Rattus norvegicus: one gene and its partners. The protein of the gene in region 3 interacts with the protein of the main gene of each other region in a pairwise test. Links are inferred from orthologs where the notes say so. Each region holds a gene or a part of one and is shown on either strand. Other genes may lie near its edges. The genes, in order: Iscu, Sdcbp and Hprt1.

The links.
Region 1: the proteins of Hprt1 (region 3) and Iscu interact in binary tests that used the Homo sapiens proteins (3 or more experiments, as listed by UniProt). The two-hybrid records come from large-scale screens. The link is inferred for Rattus norvegicus from reciprocal best matches to the Homo sapiens genes HPRT1 and ISCU.
Region 2: the proteins of Hprt1 (region 3) and Sdcbp interact in binary tests that used the Homo sapiens proteins (3 or more experiments, as listed by UniProt). The two-hybrid records come from large-scale screens. The link is inferred for Rattus norvegicus from reciprocal best matches to the Homo sapiens genes HPRT1 and SDCBP.

The regions. Positions count from the first base shown.
Region 1 is NC_086030.1:48,515,439-48,520,492, forward strand, and holds the start of Iscu (iron-sulfur cluster assembly enzyme ISCU), read right to left. Parts: upstream 3,259-5,054; 5' UTR 3,218-3,258; coding exon 3,104-3,217; intron 1,850-3,103; coding exon 1,736-1,849; intron 992-1,735; coding exon 881-991; intron 1-880. Other genes in the region: Sart3 (squamous cell carcinoma antigen recognized by T-cells 3), read left to right, coding at 4,429-4,737.
Region 2 is NC_086023.1:24,307,676-24,311,963, reverse strand, and holds part of Sdcbp (syntenin-1), read right to left. Parts: intron 3,548-4,288; coding exon 3,372-3,547; intron 93-3,371; coding exon 1-92. UniProt on the Homo sapiens protein: Multifunctional adapter protein involved in diverse array of functions including trafficking of transmembrane proteins, neuro and immunomodulation, exosome biogenesis, and tumorigenesis.
Region 3 is NC_086039.1:137,661,915-137,666,202, reverse strand, and holds part of Hprt1 (hypoxanthine-guanine phosphoribosyltransferase), read right to left. Parts: intron 827-4,288; coding exon 720-826; intron 1-719. UniProt on the Homo sapiens protein: Converts guanine to guanosine monophosphate, and hypoxanthine to inosine monophosphate. Transfers the 5-phosphoribosyl group from 5-phosphoribosylpyrophosphate onto the purine.

The DNA of each region.
Region 1 (5,054 bases), on a different chromosome or scaffold from region 3:
CCCCAGTGAACGTGATTGTTGGGGGGAGGGTGGTAATGGGGAGGGGAAGCCCATATAGAAGGGAAGGGGGAGGGGTTAGGGGGATGTTGGCCTGGAAACCGGGAAGGGGAAAAACAATTGAAATGTAAATAAGAAATACTCAAGTTAATAAAGATAAAAAAAAAAAAAATTGCCCCTTCCTTCTATGAGCTGGGATTACAGGTTGGTGTGCCGTGTGCCACCACCTTGTGCTGGTGTGGGTAGTTTCACAGCTACTGGGTCTTTTTTTTTTTTCTTTAAATGCTCCTTAGCTTCTTTTTAAAAAACATTTATTTATTTTATGTATATGAGTACACTGTTGCTGTCTTCACACACCAGGAGAGGGCATCAGATCTCATTACAGATGGTTGTGAGCCACCATGTGGTTGCTGGGAATTGAACTCAGAACCTCTGGAAGAGCAGTCAGTGCTCTTAACCACTGAGCCATCTCTCCAGCCCCAGATTTTGAATTCCAACTCCTCCCTCCGACAAAGTTGTTTTTGCAATCTGTGCATGTCTTTCTGGACTCCTCCTTGAAGGAGGAGATGGGATGAAACAAACAGTAAATGCTGCTCAGGAGCTCTTAGGGGACCTTGGTGACCTTAGGGACATCAGGGAAAGCCCAAAACCATCTTTCAGTTCTACTGCTGGGAGGCCTGGTGGCGATTCTCATCTACTGAACTGGCAACCAGTGACAACAGTGACTAACACACTGCCTCAAGCAACAAGATGGTCTTAAACTTCCAGAGTAAGGAATGTAATCAGTGCTCGGGTAGGAAGAGAAATTAAACCTTAGAAAAATGGGCTCCCCCCCCCCTTTCTCTCTCTCTCCCTCCCTCCCTCCCTCTCTGAGCAGCCTTACCGTTTTCCCCTTTACCCACTCCGTGGCTAAGGAGCTGGAGGCAATGGCGGAGCCGCAGCCAAATGTTTTAAATCTGGCATCCACAATCTTCCCCTTTTCATCCACCTGGATCTAGAAAAGAGACGGGAGCTGAGAGGCCACAGCTTGACACCTGGAATCCGGGAGCCGGGAACTTCCAGAGGTGAGTGTTCCACACGAGCCCTGGTTTGCTATGACTCCACATGCCATGACATTCATCACTGTGTTTTGCTTCAAAGGACTTGGCGACAGAAAGTGAAACTTGGGGTCCACACAGGCTCAGCTGGGAGAGGGGCAAGGAACAGTGCCCCTCACCCCGCTTGGTTGTTTTCGGCCCTTGCCTGCTGTATGTGAGTGCCTATTTTGCAGGGGTCTGTTTATAGATGTCCCCCCATCAGCACCTCAGGCACTGACAGAGTCTGTAACCAAGGTCTCCATCAATCCCTTTCTCTTGGGCACCAACTGTAATTAACAGCTCTTTTCTGCCTGCCATTAAGGAGGCTGAGGCTGAGCTAAAACTCCAGCTGACCTAGGCCCAGCCCACCACCTTCCACCCCGCTTCCTTTTCCTGGAGAGGTTTGGTTAACACATTCCTTTTCTCACTGGGGGCCTTCATTTGGTCAGAACAGTCACAAAGTCTTTCACTCGGTGAAAGCAAGATCTACCGATGCCTTGGTGTGGTGGTGTTGTGGAGAATGAGGCCACCTGTTTCGGAACAGAGACCCATCCTTGTCAGCCGCCCATCCCTCCTCACAGGAATGGCAGACAAGATGAAATGCTCTGTGAGCAAACTTCTTGTTGGGGTGCAGGGGGTGATCCTTTTCATCCAGCCAGTACCTGCAGTTTCATGACGTCACCACATGCCGGAGCCCCCACCAGTCCGGTTCCAACATTTTTAGATGTCTTGTCAAGGGACCCCACGTTCCTAGGGTTTTCATAATGATCCACAACCTGAAATGGCAGATCAACAGATATCACTGAGGCTTTCCTCTCTCCCTCGGATCAGCAATTTGTATGGGACAGAGATAGGAGCTCAAAGTGAGACCTAAACTCTATCTCCTCCCCAACGACCTTTGTACTGGAGATACGTCCATGGTATCGGTGAAAACTCAGCCACACCTTCATTTCAAGGGGCTGTCAACCAAAAGCCATCAGTTGACTCAGACATTCTACCAGGTCTGTGCTCAAGCACCATTTCTGTTTTTACCAAACACAATACACAAAGAGAATTATACACTTAAAAATCCCAAGAATAAAAATGGCTCCAAATGTAAGATTTCCCAAGAAGTTTCAAGGTGACTGTTAGAAATGAGCCGGAGGTTGGGGAATGAATGAGTCATTGGTGGCTGTAAACAAACACGCCGCCACCCCGATGCAGGAGCGCCCTCTGGTGCCTTAACGCTGCCAGCTCGCACAAGGTCCTGTAGCTAATGTCAACAAAACAACCTTCCCTTTGGGGTGAAGGCCTTGGGCAATGGCACCCAAGCCAGAGCAGAACAAACAGCCATTAAAGTCAGGGACACACCAAGATAAAAACCGAGTGCCCTCCACCCCCCCCCCCAGCCCCAGTCACCAGGAGGCACCCTCATCTGCACCTTGAATCTAAGCCCTGGGGCTCCATCACGCATCATCTAATCAGGACTTTTGGTGTTTTGTACAGCTTGTGGTAGTTTTGTTTTTTTCGAGTGAGTCTCATGTCAAGGGGACTTTAACGTCCCTAGAAGGCGGGGGCCGTAAACTACCCTTCCATACTTTCTGCTCACCACAAATAAATAACCGAGAATCGAAGTTTTATGTTGCCTAGGTGCTTGGCTGAGCTCGAGGCCATCAGCTCCTATAGTAAACGTCATAAGTGGTTTCCATTTGTTGGACCGAGCGCTCTACACACAGGGACTGCAGAAGACCCATGTGAGATCTAAGAGAAAGGTTGGGCAAGGGTCAGTGACTTGCTCAAGGCCAATTAGCCAGGGCAATGGCCTAGCTGGTGAGCATGCCGGTGCTGCAACGTGTGCTCATGCATGTATGTGTGCTGCCCCTTGACCCCCGGCACGACATACCAGGACCCTCCCTTCTGGGCTGTCAGAGTTGGGACACTTGGAGTAGCGGCCGCGGCGGGGCTGAGGTGGCCGCGGGGTCCTCGGTGGTTATCTGTGCAACAGCTGCAGGTCCCCTCGATGGTTCGCGTACCCCCTCGCCCGCCCATACCTTCTTGTGGTAGAGCCTGGCAGGAGCCGACAACTCCCGGGCGGGCAGGCGCGGGCTCCGGAGCAGCAGCGCGGACGCCGCCCGCCTCAGACGGCCCGCTCCAGCCGCCGCCATCTTGCCGGCTTGCACCTGCGTCGACCTCTGCGACGCCGAAGGGAGGGCGCGCTTGTATGACGTCACCGCTGCTTGGCGCTTGCGCTCTCCGCTCCAAGCGCGTGCACGCGTTTCGGCCGGTCTCTTTGGTCACGCCTCCGGAAGGGGCGTGGACGCGGCGCAGAGCGGGAAGGTCTGAAGCTGCGGTCACGTTTGTCTGGTGCTGCGATGGGCGTGGGGCCGCCCAGAAGTGGGAAGCCGGGCCTGACTTGCCCGAGGATGCTCAGACTCAGGCTTATTTGGGATTCGAGCTTGCATGAGTCTCTGTTCAGGTTCAGGCTTTTTTTTTTCTAATTCAAAGGCAGCCGTTTCATCTACGGAGCAAATAACATGTCAAGTGTACACTAGGTGTCACTAAAAAAAAAAAATTCCTGGGAGTCCCGAGGAAAGCAATTCCTGTCTCGTTAACCTTGCTGATGAAGGAGAAAGGCAGTGCAGAGGAAAACAGCAGTGTTCTTTTTTTTTTTTTCTACCTCAACAACGAGGAGTATAAAAGAAACAAACACCATACCTCCTCGACATGTACATGTTTGTTTTACAATCCACTGCATCCCGAGACGATACTTACTGTAATGTGTTAGCATTGGCTATATAGTCACAAAATCGATGCGTCTAACACCTGTTAGATACTAGGTGCTAGAAAGGGGAGGGAGCTTTATACTGAGAGATAGGCTTTTCTCGTGAATGGTGCATTGTATCGCGGAGGAACTGGAATTTTGTCCGCACCTGAGGGCCGGTTGCTGCGAAACAACAACGCACTGGAGCGGGCTGAGCCTTGCAGAAATCCTTTAGTCCAAAAAAAAAAAAAAAAAAAAAAAAAAAAAAAAATGACTTTGACCTTCCTAAGATGGCGTCTGGACCTTAACTATGGCCATCACGCACACACAACTGCCGGTATGGCTGCCACTTCCGGTCCCAAGACCCAAAAGCTGTCCAAGGTCGTAGCCCGACGCAGGTTATGCTAGTGAGCCTTTCTTCCTGACAGTGGCGTCCAGAGACGCCTAAGGATAATATCAGTGGTGGAGTCTTCACGGCTTCCTCCGCCCTGAGGCCCTTCGTGCCACTTCCGCTGGCGCCGAGCGGAGTTTTGGTCAGGCAGACGCCACGGACAGCCTAATGTTCGCCGGGCTTCGGCGGGCGAGGGAGGACCCGAGAATCGCGGGCTGCGCAAGATGGCGACGGCGACTGCATCCTCGGCGTCCGAGCCGGAGGTTGAGCCCCAGGCCCGGCCTGAGGCTGAGGGAGAGGAGGATGAGGCGAAGCCGGCGGGTGTGGGCAGGAAGGTGCTGTCCAGCGCGGAGACAGCCAAAGCCAAGGGCCCTGAGCGGGAGGTGCACCAGGAAGGTGTGAGCGAGAGCGATGGGGATGAGGAGGACGCCGCCATGGCTTCCTCCGCCGAGAGCTCCGCCGGGGAGGACGAGTGGGAGTACGACGAGGAGGAGGAGAAGAACCAGTTGGAGATCGAGCGGCTGGAGGAGCAGGTGGGCCGGGGTGGGCGGCGGGTTCTCTTCCCTCGGGTCCCCAGGCCCGGCCCGCCCCCTCGGTCCTCCGTGGTTATGGAGACCGCTGAGGTCTCCAGGGCGCTGTCAGCCACCGTGGGTCCCCGGTTCCCGAGCTCAGTGGGTGCCCAGAACTTCCGTAAAGTATTCCATTGGATCCTCTTCATGGTTGGGGAAGTAGTGTTAATCCGGTTTCACTGGGAAACTGAGGCTCCTGCCCAAGGTGACACTCAGCTGAAAGTGTTTATCTTTTCAGGCTGAACCCAATCAGGGCTCTTATCCTTTTTGTATTTTTAAAC
Region 2 (4,288 bases), on a different chromosome or scaffold from region 3:
CTTTCACTATGGATGTGATTTTTCCACTTTTAAAGATAAAGCCAACATGTCCACTGCTGTCCTTATGCATGGTAACTGTCCGTTCAAAGGGTCTGAAGCATAAGGGCTGTGTTAGACGGAAACTTCCACTTCCTATTTCAATACACACGCATGCCTACAAACTCTGCCACATGGGGTATGTTGCTACAGTAAGCGCTAGGTGTTTCTAATAATCTATTATGGTTAACATGTCACACGGGTTGACTGACTCACTACTGAGATACCCTGTTAGTGTGAGGAGAGAGCATAGTGCTCCATGGAGTTATCACTGCGCTTTCCCTCCACAGCCCACATACCTTGCGTTAACAGTGAGCCAGATGCCCTTCCACTAAACCACTAAGTCCTTCCAGCACCTCTGGAACCAGCTGGTCTCAGACATTTAAGCCTTAAACTTCCCTGCACTTTCCACATCTCAGTTTTGACATTTTCACGGATTCGTTCCTTTCACTTACTTACTAGGTGTGCTATGCATAAAGTGTAAGTTGCAGGATGAGCTCTCCCCACCACGTGCGCCAGGACCCCACCTAGGTGGCCGGGATTACAGGCAAAACTTGGCTCTAATGTGAAAGACCCACCAGAGAAGCAGTGAGTGGGGGTTCATGAGGCCTGACTGGACGGGAAGGCACAAGCTACAGTTAAAAAGGCCTCGAGCTCTGCCTGCAGAAGCTGTCATGCCACTAATGCTCGCTGACTGACTTTCTGAACGTGCTCTGTTTACAGCAGGAAAGTCTGCAGCTCTACCTTCCTATTAGTCCAACTCCATTCAAAGTAACTTTTTAAATCATTTAAGAATATATCTAGCCAAAGATGTGAAAGCCCTTTCTGTAAGTGACAGATTCTCCCAATGCAAAAGATACTGAAAAAGGAAACCACAGAAGTTAATTGATGATGGCAAGTCCAAGCAACTGGATTGGCCGAATTATTATAAAAATACCTTTACTACAACACAATTAATTTGCAGATTTAATGCAATACCTATCAAAATTCTAATATTGGACTTTACAGGTTTAGAAAAAAAAGCAAACCAAGAATTCCCTTGGGCCCTTAGAAGAGTGCAGCGGGCCAAAGGGATGCTGAGGAGCGAGGACGCTGCTGGGGCTGCCATACTCAGGAGCAGAGCACCCACCGCTACAGCCTGAAGAACTCTTGGGGCTGGTGTAAACACAAGACCACCGCAACGGAGTGAGTGCACGAAAAGATTTGGCAACAAAAGCAAAATCATATAATGGGGAAAAAACAATTCAAGAAACAACACTGGCAAAACAGATTCTACCTGTGGATGAGTGAAATTAGATTCACTTTGTACTAAAATAAAATAAAAATGGACCAGAATCCTAAATCCTAAATGGCTCCAACTTCTAGAAGAAACCACAGGGACACCCTTCAAGCACTTGAGGTTGACAACAACTCTGCGTAGAGCAGCAACAGTAAAGGGATGAAGCCCAAGATTCAAGATGGGACCACATGGAAACAAAATATTTCTGTACACCAGAGGAAACAATCAGCACAGCAAAAGGCCACAGCATGGGCAGCCTTTACCAAACTTCAGACAAGCTGCTAACACCCAGAATTTATAAATAGTTGCAGAAATTACATACTAAGGAAATAAAGTCACCAATCAACAGACGGTCAAATGAACTAATAAAATATTTTTTCAAAATAACTTAAAAGGTCCAGTAACTATGTTAAAAAGTTCAGCGGGGAGGTGGCACATGCCTTTAATTCCACCCTTTAACCTCAGCCCTCGGGAGGCAGAGGCAGGCAGATCTCTAAAGTTCAGGGACAGAACAGTCTACAAAGTGAGTTCCAGAACAGCCAGGGCCACACAGAGAAACTGTCTCAACCTCTCAGCGCACAAAAACTGCTCAGTCATCAAGAAAATGCAAATTAAAACTACTTCAAGATACTACCCCTCCACTCATCAAAATGACTATTATCAAAAAACAAGGGTACAAATTAATATAGCCACTAATAAGTTTAGAAGCTTCTCAAAAAAAATAAAACACAAAAAAAAACAAAACAAAACATTAAATTAGCACATGGCCTTACTACTTCACCCCTAGGCACACACTACATGCAGAGAACCCCACAGCCTGCTGCTGACACACTTGTGCCCCTACACTTAGTCCTGCTTTATTCACTACAGCAATGAGCTGGAGTTAACCGAGATGCACTTTCCTCCCAGTCGGAACCTAGCCAATAGTGTATGCACATAAACAAAGGTGCACACGATACAACATGGAAAGCAATACGGTAAAGGTTAGGGCAAAGGAAAGGACTGAATGCAGCTGGTCCACACTGAGTTATAAAAGAAGTTAAAGTGATTTCTTTTCTTTCATGAATTTGCTTATAGTTGTGAGTAACTCAAAAAATACATTCTAGGGTGGAAATGTAAAATCCACCATGAAGCTCCCTCCACAGCTTCTGTTCCGGATAGCTGTACATCAGTACAGAGGTTCCCTGAGATTCCGGATAGATGAACATCTGTACAGAGGTTCCCTGAGGTTTATAATGTTTGAGTCTGGTGAATTCCAACATGTGATGTCTTTGTATTTGCAATGTTACTGCTTTTTTTTAAAAAAAAAGGCACAGGTGGGCCTGTGCATGTGAGTGCAGGTGCCTATGAAGAAAGGAACAGATATTACAGGCGGCTGTGACCCACCCTATTGGGTATGGGAACCAAACTGGCCAGACCTGGTCCAATTTTTATGAAATTCTGCTTTACACATTAAAACAATTTTATGGACTTTTCCATTTTTATTACATTTAGGAATTTAATAAACATTTTTTGATCAATGTCACTTTTACTCTCTCAGAGTGGTGATACTGGTCTTAATACTTGTGGGAGCTGGGAAGAAAAGAGGCAAATCATTTTTGTACAGTTTCCAGGTTAAAAGTAGACCACCGACCATGCAGAATGACTCATCCTCTTTTACTTAACTGCACAACCACCCCAGACCAGATTTGGTTTCAAAACTGAGTCCTTAGGAACTCTCTGACATTTAGTCCTCATGACAAGGGGCCCTGGCACTGGACGCTTAGGCAGTGTGCTACAGAGTGAGGCCACAGCCCTTCCTACATCAGTTACTCCTGATGCATATATAACCTTTCCAGAGAGAGAGACAGGAAAGCTTGCTTAGAGGACAGATTCCCAGACAGGGTGGTAAAATGTATATGCAAATGTAGACTTCTATGAAAAGAATCTAACTACGTAAGAAAAACACCTAACAGCAAGATGTAATAAATCAATATTTGCCTTAAAAAATAAAAAGTAGACAACTCTATTTAAATATGGGCTTGCACTTCAGTGTCACTGGTGGGGAGCAGCTCACCTATCACGAATGGTCATGGTAATCTTCTCTCCAAAGGCCTGCTTGAGCACCTTGTGTGCCTTATCGGAGCTCCAGCCGGCACAGTTTTCACCATTGATCTGGAGCACCTGGTCCCCAAATCGCAGCCCAACCAAGGAGGCTGGGGAATTAGCCTGGACTAGTTGAACAAATATACCCTAGAGAACAAGAAAATAATTTATCACTGCTACATGTAACTCCAGTTTCTGGGGACCTGGCATTATTTTCTGACCTGTAAGGATACCAGGCATGTATATGGTGCACAAATATGCCGGCCAACACTCAACACAAACAATTATAAAAACAATTAAATGATAGTTTGGGGTAACAATTCCGTATTTTTTTAGCTCAAAGGCCACTTTATTCATCTCTTAAAATAATCAATAAAACTGGGGATAAACAATAGCAACAACAAAGTACTTCTAACAATAAACTCCCAGGACACACACACTTATCTTGAACTTCTGTTGGTTCAATCAGACTTTGAACCGAGCACAAGCCTACAGTCTGTGGTGGACCAGACATGAGATCTGCCATGAAGCAGTAGCAACAGGCAGCATCCCACTGACTGACCTGTGCCAAGCAGTAAACTAGAACGGTGCTAAGGCACCTCTGCTGAACTATACCACACTTGAGCTTCAGTGAGGCCAGGGCTTTACGAGCACAATGACGGATCTGAAGCATGGACAGAGGGCTACACACAATCATGCCCTCAGCCTTTTGAGTGGAAAGGTAGTGTTCGTCTTTCCTGCCTACATCAGCCTCATTCAGTTGAATACTGTGATACGCTTATTTTCTATGTGGAAAGATGGACTCACTGAAGCTAAGGAACAGTTAGACTGCAACAGAATCCAGGAGGATAATGGTTCAAATTTTATGAACAGAAATAACAAACTTGC
Region 3 (4,288 bases):
GGGTGATTAACTAGTAAGGCTTCCTGCTGTGTGTGTGTGTTTGTGAGGAAAGGACTTTAAAAATAGAAAACATTGGGGCTGGAAAGACAGTTCATCAGTTAAGAGCACTCCCTGTTTTTGCAGAGGACCTAAGTTCAGTTCCCAGCACCCATACAGTGGTCCACAATGATCTGTAACTCCTGTTCCAGGGAATCCACCAGACTTCTGGCATCCTGGAATGCATATGCTTCACATACATACATGTAGGAACTCATATGTACAAGTAAAAAAATAGAAAACTTGTATTCATTAATAAATTGGCTTAGCTTATATATTCAAATATCAACTACTTAACAATTGCTAAGTTAGAATTAAAACCCTCTTGGCTGGAAAGATGGCTTGGCGTGTGAGAGCACTTGTGCAAGCATCAGGCCCTAGGTTTAGATCCCCCAGCACCCATATAAAAACCAGGTGTGGCTGCACCTGCTTGTAACTTCAGCACTGCGGGGCCAGATACAAGCAGATCCCTGGGCCTTGTTAGCCAGGCAGACAGCCTACCCATATCAGTATGTATGCTCCAGGTTCAATGAGAGACACTGATTCAAGGGAATAAGAGAGCAAGAGACTAGGATACCTAATGTCCTTCTCTGGATTCCATATACATGCATGCACTTCACATATATATCACATATGCCCCCCCACACCCCTCTAAAAATAACTTCAATCAAGGTCTTACTAACCTGTCCATAATCAGTCCATGAGGAATAAACACCTTTTCCAAATCTTCAGCATAATGATTAGGTATGCAAAATAAATCTAGGTCATAACCTGGTTCATCATCACTAATCTGCAAAAGAAAGACAGCTGTTTCAAAACAAAGCATTATAAGATATCCACATTTAATTCAACTTAAATAATAAGTCTTAGTTTACCAGAGGAATTTAGGTATGAGGGGGTATTTAGAGCAGTTAAATTTTACCGTTTTTGTAATAAATTATACTTCTCTAAGAAAACCATGTGTCTTATTGCTGAAAAGGGTCAAGAATGAGAAGTAAAACATGACACAGGGGTTGGAGATTTAGCTCAGCCGTGGAGCGCTTGCTTAGCAAGCGCAAGGCCCTGGGTTCGGTCCCCAGCTCCGGGGGCGGGGGATGACACAGAATTCCCTTTGGGTCACAAAGAGAAAAAGAGAAAAAACTGAGGTATGACAAACGTGACATATATAGAGAGAGTTCAGAGATTGAAACTGGGTCTAAAAATTTTACTTATGTTTTATGACTGGGTCTCTCATTGAACCTGGTCAACCAATTTTGCTAGTCTAGTTGGCCAGGAAGCGAAGGGATCTTCCTGTCTCTGCCTTCTCTGTGCTGGGGTTCCAACTTCAGGTCCTGAAGATGACATGGCCGGCACTTTATAGACTGAGCCATCTCCTTGATCCCCTAGATTATGTTATCTGTTGTGTGTGTGTGTGTGTGTGTGTGTGTGTGCAGGTCACCAAAAAACTGATCCTTCAAAAACTCAAAGTTAAAAGTCTGAGATGATTACAATCTAATACAATAACTTCACAGAAGATACTCCAAAACTGTTTTGCATTGTACCATATTGGTTATATTAGTATGTCCAGAGCCCAGCATACAAAATATTTAATAGTATTAATGATATGGTACCTTGGTGGAGAAAATATAGTATGATAGTTTTATAAATATACATGTACCTGTACACACAGAAAAAAGTACAGTAAATTCATTTAACAGCTAAAGCGGCACATCCCTATTAACCCAGTCCTTGGGAAACTGAGGTAGAAGTTCCTGAATGAGGCCAGCAGGTGTTACTAAGTAAATCCCAGGCTAGCTAGCTAGAGGCTACAAAGACCCTGTCTTTAAAAATATCCCCAAACTGTAAATCATAAAAGCCATTATCTTTGACAGTAAATGTTATAGTGAGATAGTGCAGGACGTGGGTGGGGTCTCTCTCATGGATCCAAACTGGGCTCAAACTCACTGTGCAGTTGACCTTCTACGCGTGAACCTTTGGTTTCTCCCTCTTGAGCATTTGGACTATGAACATGAGTTATCACAGCCCAGTTTACCTAGTGTTCAGTGTCAAACCCAGGGTTTCATGCATACTAGGCAAGCACTCCATCACAACCATCTGTAATGAAATCCGATGCCCTCTTGTGGTGTGTGTGAAGACAGCTATAGTGTACTTACATATATAATAATGAAATAGATAAAATTATAAAAAAACAAAAAATTCACATAATATTTACATTAAAATACATTTACTGGGTTGGGGATTTAGCTCAGTGGTAGAGCGCTTGCCTAGCAAGTGCAAGGCCCTGGGTTCGGTCCCCAGCTCCGAAAAAAATTAAAAAAAAAAATAAAATAAAATACATTTACTAGCAAAAATAGAAATTGGACATTTGTATCATATAAAGGAACATTCAAAGAGTATTTTATAAAAAAAAGCAGTTTTGTAAGTTTTCTTAAAAAAAGGTTCTGTGTTCACTCATATTTATTTATTTATTGATTTATTTATTTTTATTTTTTTATGTGCGTACACTGGCACTCTCTTCATACACACAAGAGGGCATCAGATCCCATTAACAGATGGTTGTGAGCCACCATGTGGTTGCTGGGAATTGAACTCAGGACCTCTGGAAGAGCAGTCAGTGCTCTTAACTGCTGAGCTATCCCTCCAGCCCCTGTAAGCTTTATTAAGGAAATTTTAGTTTATGTTTTGAGGAAAGATGACAGACTGGCAATTTTATAAGAAAAAAACATTCATGCCAGGCTCATGAGAATGTATGTACTATAATCTAACAAAAATAAACTCGGATCATTTCAAAGTACCTTAGAATCAAGATTAGTATACCACACGGACTTTCCTGAGGCATACTCACAAGCTCCACCGGCTCACTCGCTGTTTCTGTTGTGGCATATCACACCCAGGTTTCATCATACTACTGCACCTACCAAAATGGCTCAGTGCCTGACTACAGGTTCTACAGGTAACTACCCAAGAACTTCAAAGACTATTTCAATTAAACCCCATATGAACTCTGCCAAGTTCATCCCAGTCTTTTTATGTGTGTTGAAACAGGGTCTTATTATGTAACTCTATCTGTGCTGGACCTAGATATAGAGACTAGACTGGCCTCACACTTGCTATCATCTTCTCTCTGCTTCTTGCGTGCTGGGATTACAGATGTGCACCCAACTCTCAGTCATGTAGCCTAAGAATTCAAACAGATAATCAGGAATTACTCAAAAATAGAAATTCTATTTCTGTCATCACACCAAACTATTCACCAATGCAAAAGTCTTGATTTCTAATTAAAACAGATTCATGTTTGAGAATTTTCGTTTTGTTCTGAGATATTTATATTGTTATTTTAACAGTAAAAATTTTGTTTCTGATTTCAGATAGTCTTGGCTCTGTAGTCCACCCTAACCTGAATCTCATGATATAGACCAAGCCATCCTCAAACCTGGGGCAATCTTCCTGCTGTGGCTACCCATATGATGGGGTTTACAAGTATGAACCATCATACCCAATTTATTAAAGCCACAATGATACAATTCTTCCCCAAAAAGCAAAAATAGTGTTACAACTCTTCATATTAGATGCTTGTGTGTGTGTGTGTGTGTGTGTATTTACATGGGTTTGAATGTGTGTATGTGAAGGTCACACCTAGCAATTTCTGTCCATTCTAAAACTTTGAACATGCTGATTACTATTCCTAAAATACACAACAATTTTCTATTATTCTCACACACACACCCTTTCCTGTTTCATCACTGGCTGGTTTGGAACTCTCCCTGTCCTTGCTGGGATTAGAAGTATGTTCCACCACAACTGGCTTGTTATCCAACTCTTAATTCATAATAGTTTTCTTTTTTGAGACAGTCCCATGAGCTCAGGCTGGCTTTGAACTCACTATGAGGCTGAGAATGATTGAAGCCAACCTTCTCCCCCTGCCTCCCAAGTGAGTCCCACCTCCATTTAATGGAGTCTTGCTTGGGCCAATGAACAATGTTATTTTACTACAAAGGCTTACATAATCTGAATTGTATACAATGAGCTGATCATAGCTTAAGTTCATTTCCCCTTTTTATATTATTTCTGATAATGTACCTGTGTAACAAGAAATTTTATGTGGAAACCACAAGAATTTTCATGTGACTGCCATTAATACAAATATGCATTAATTTATAATAGGGATTTGTGCTGGGCGTGTTGGCATATACCTATAATCTCAGCATTCAGAAGTCTGAGACAGAAGACTACCAACTCTGAGGCCAGCCTT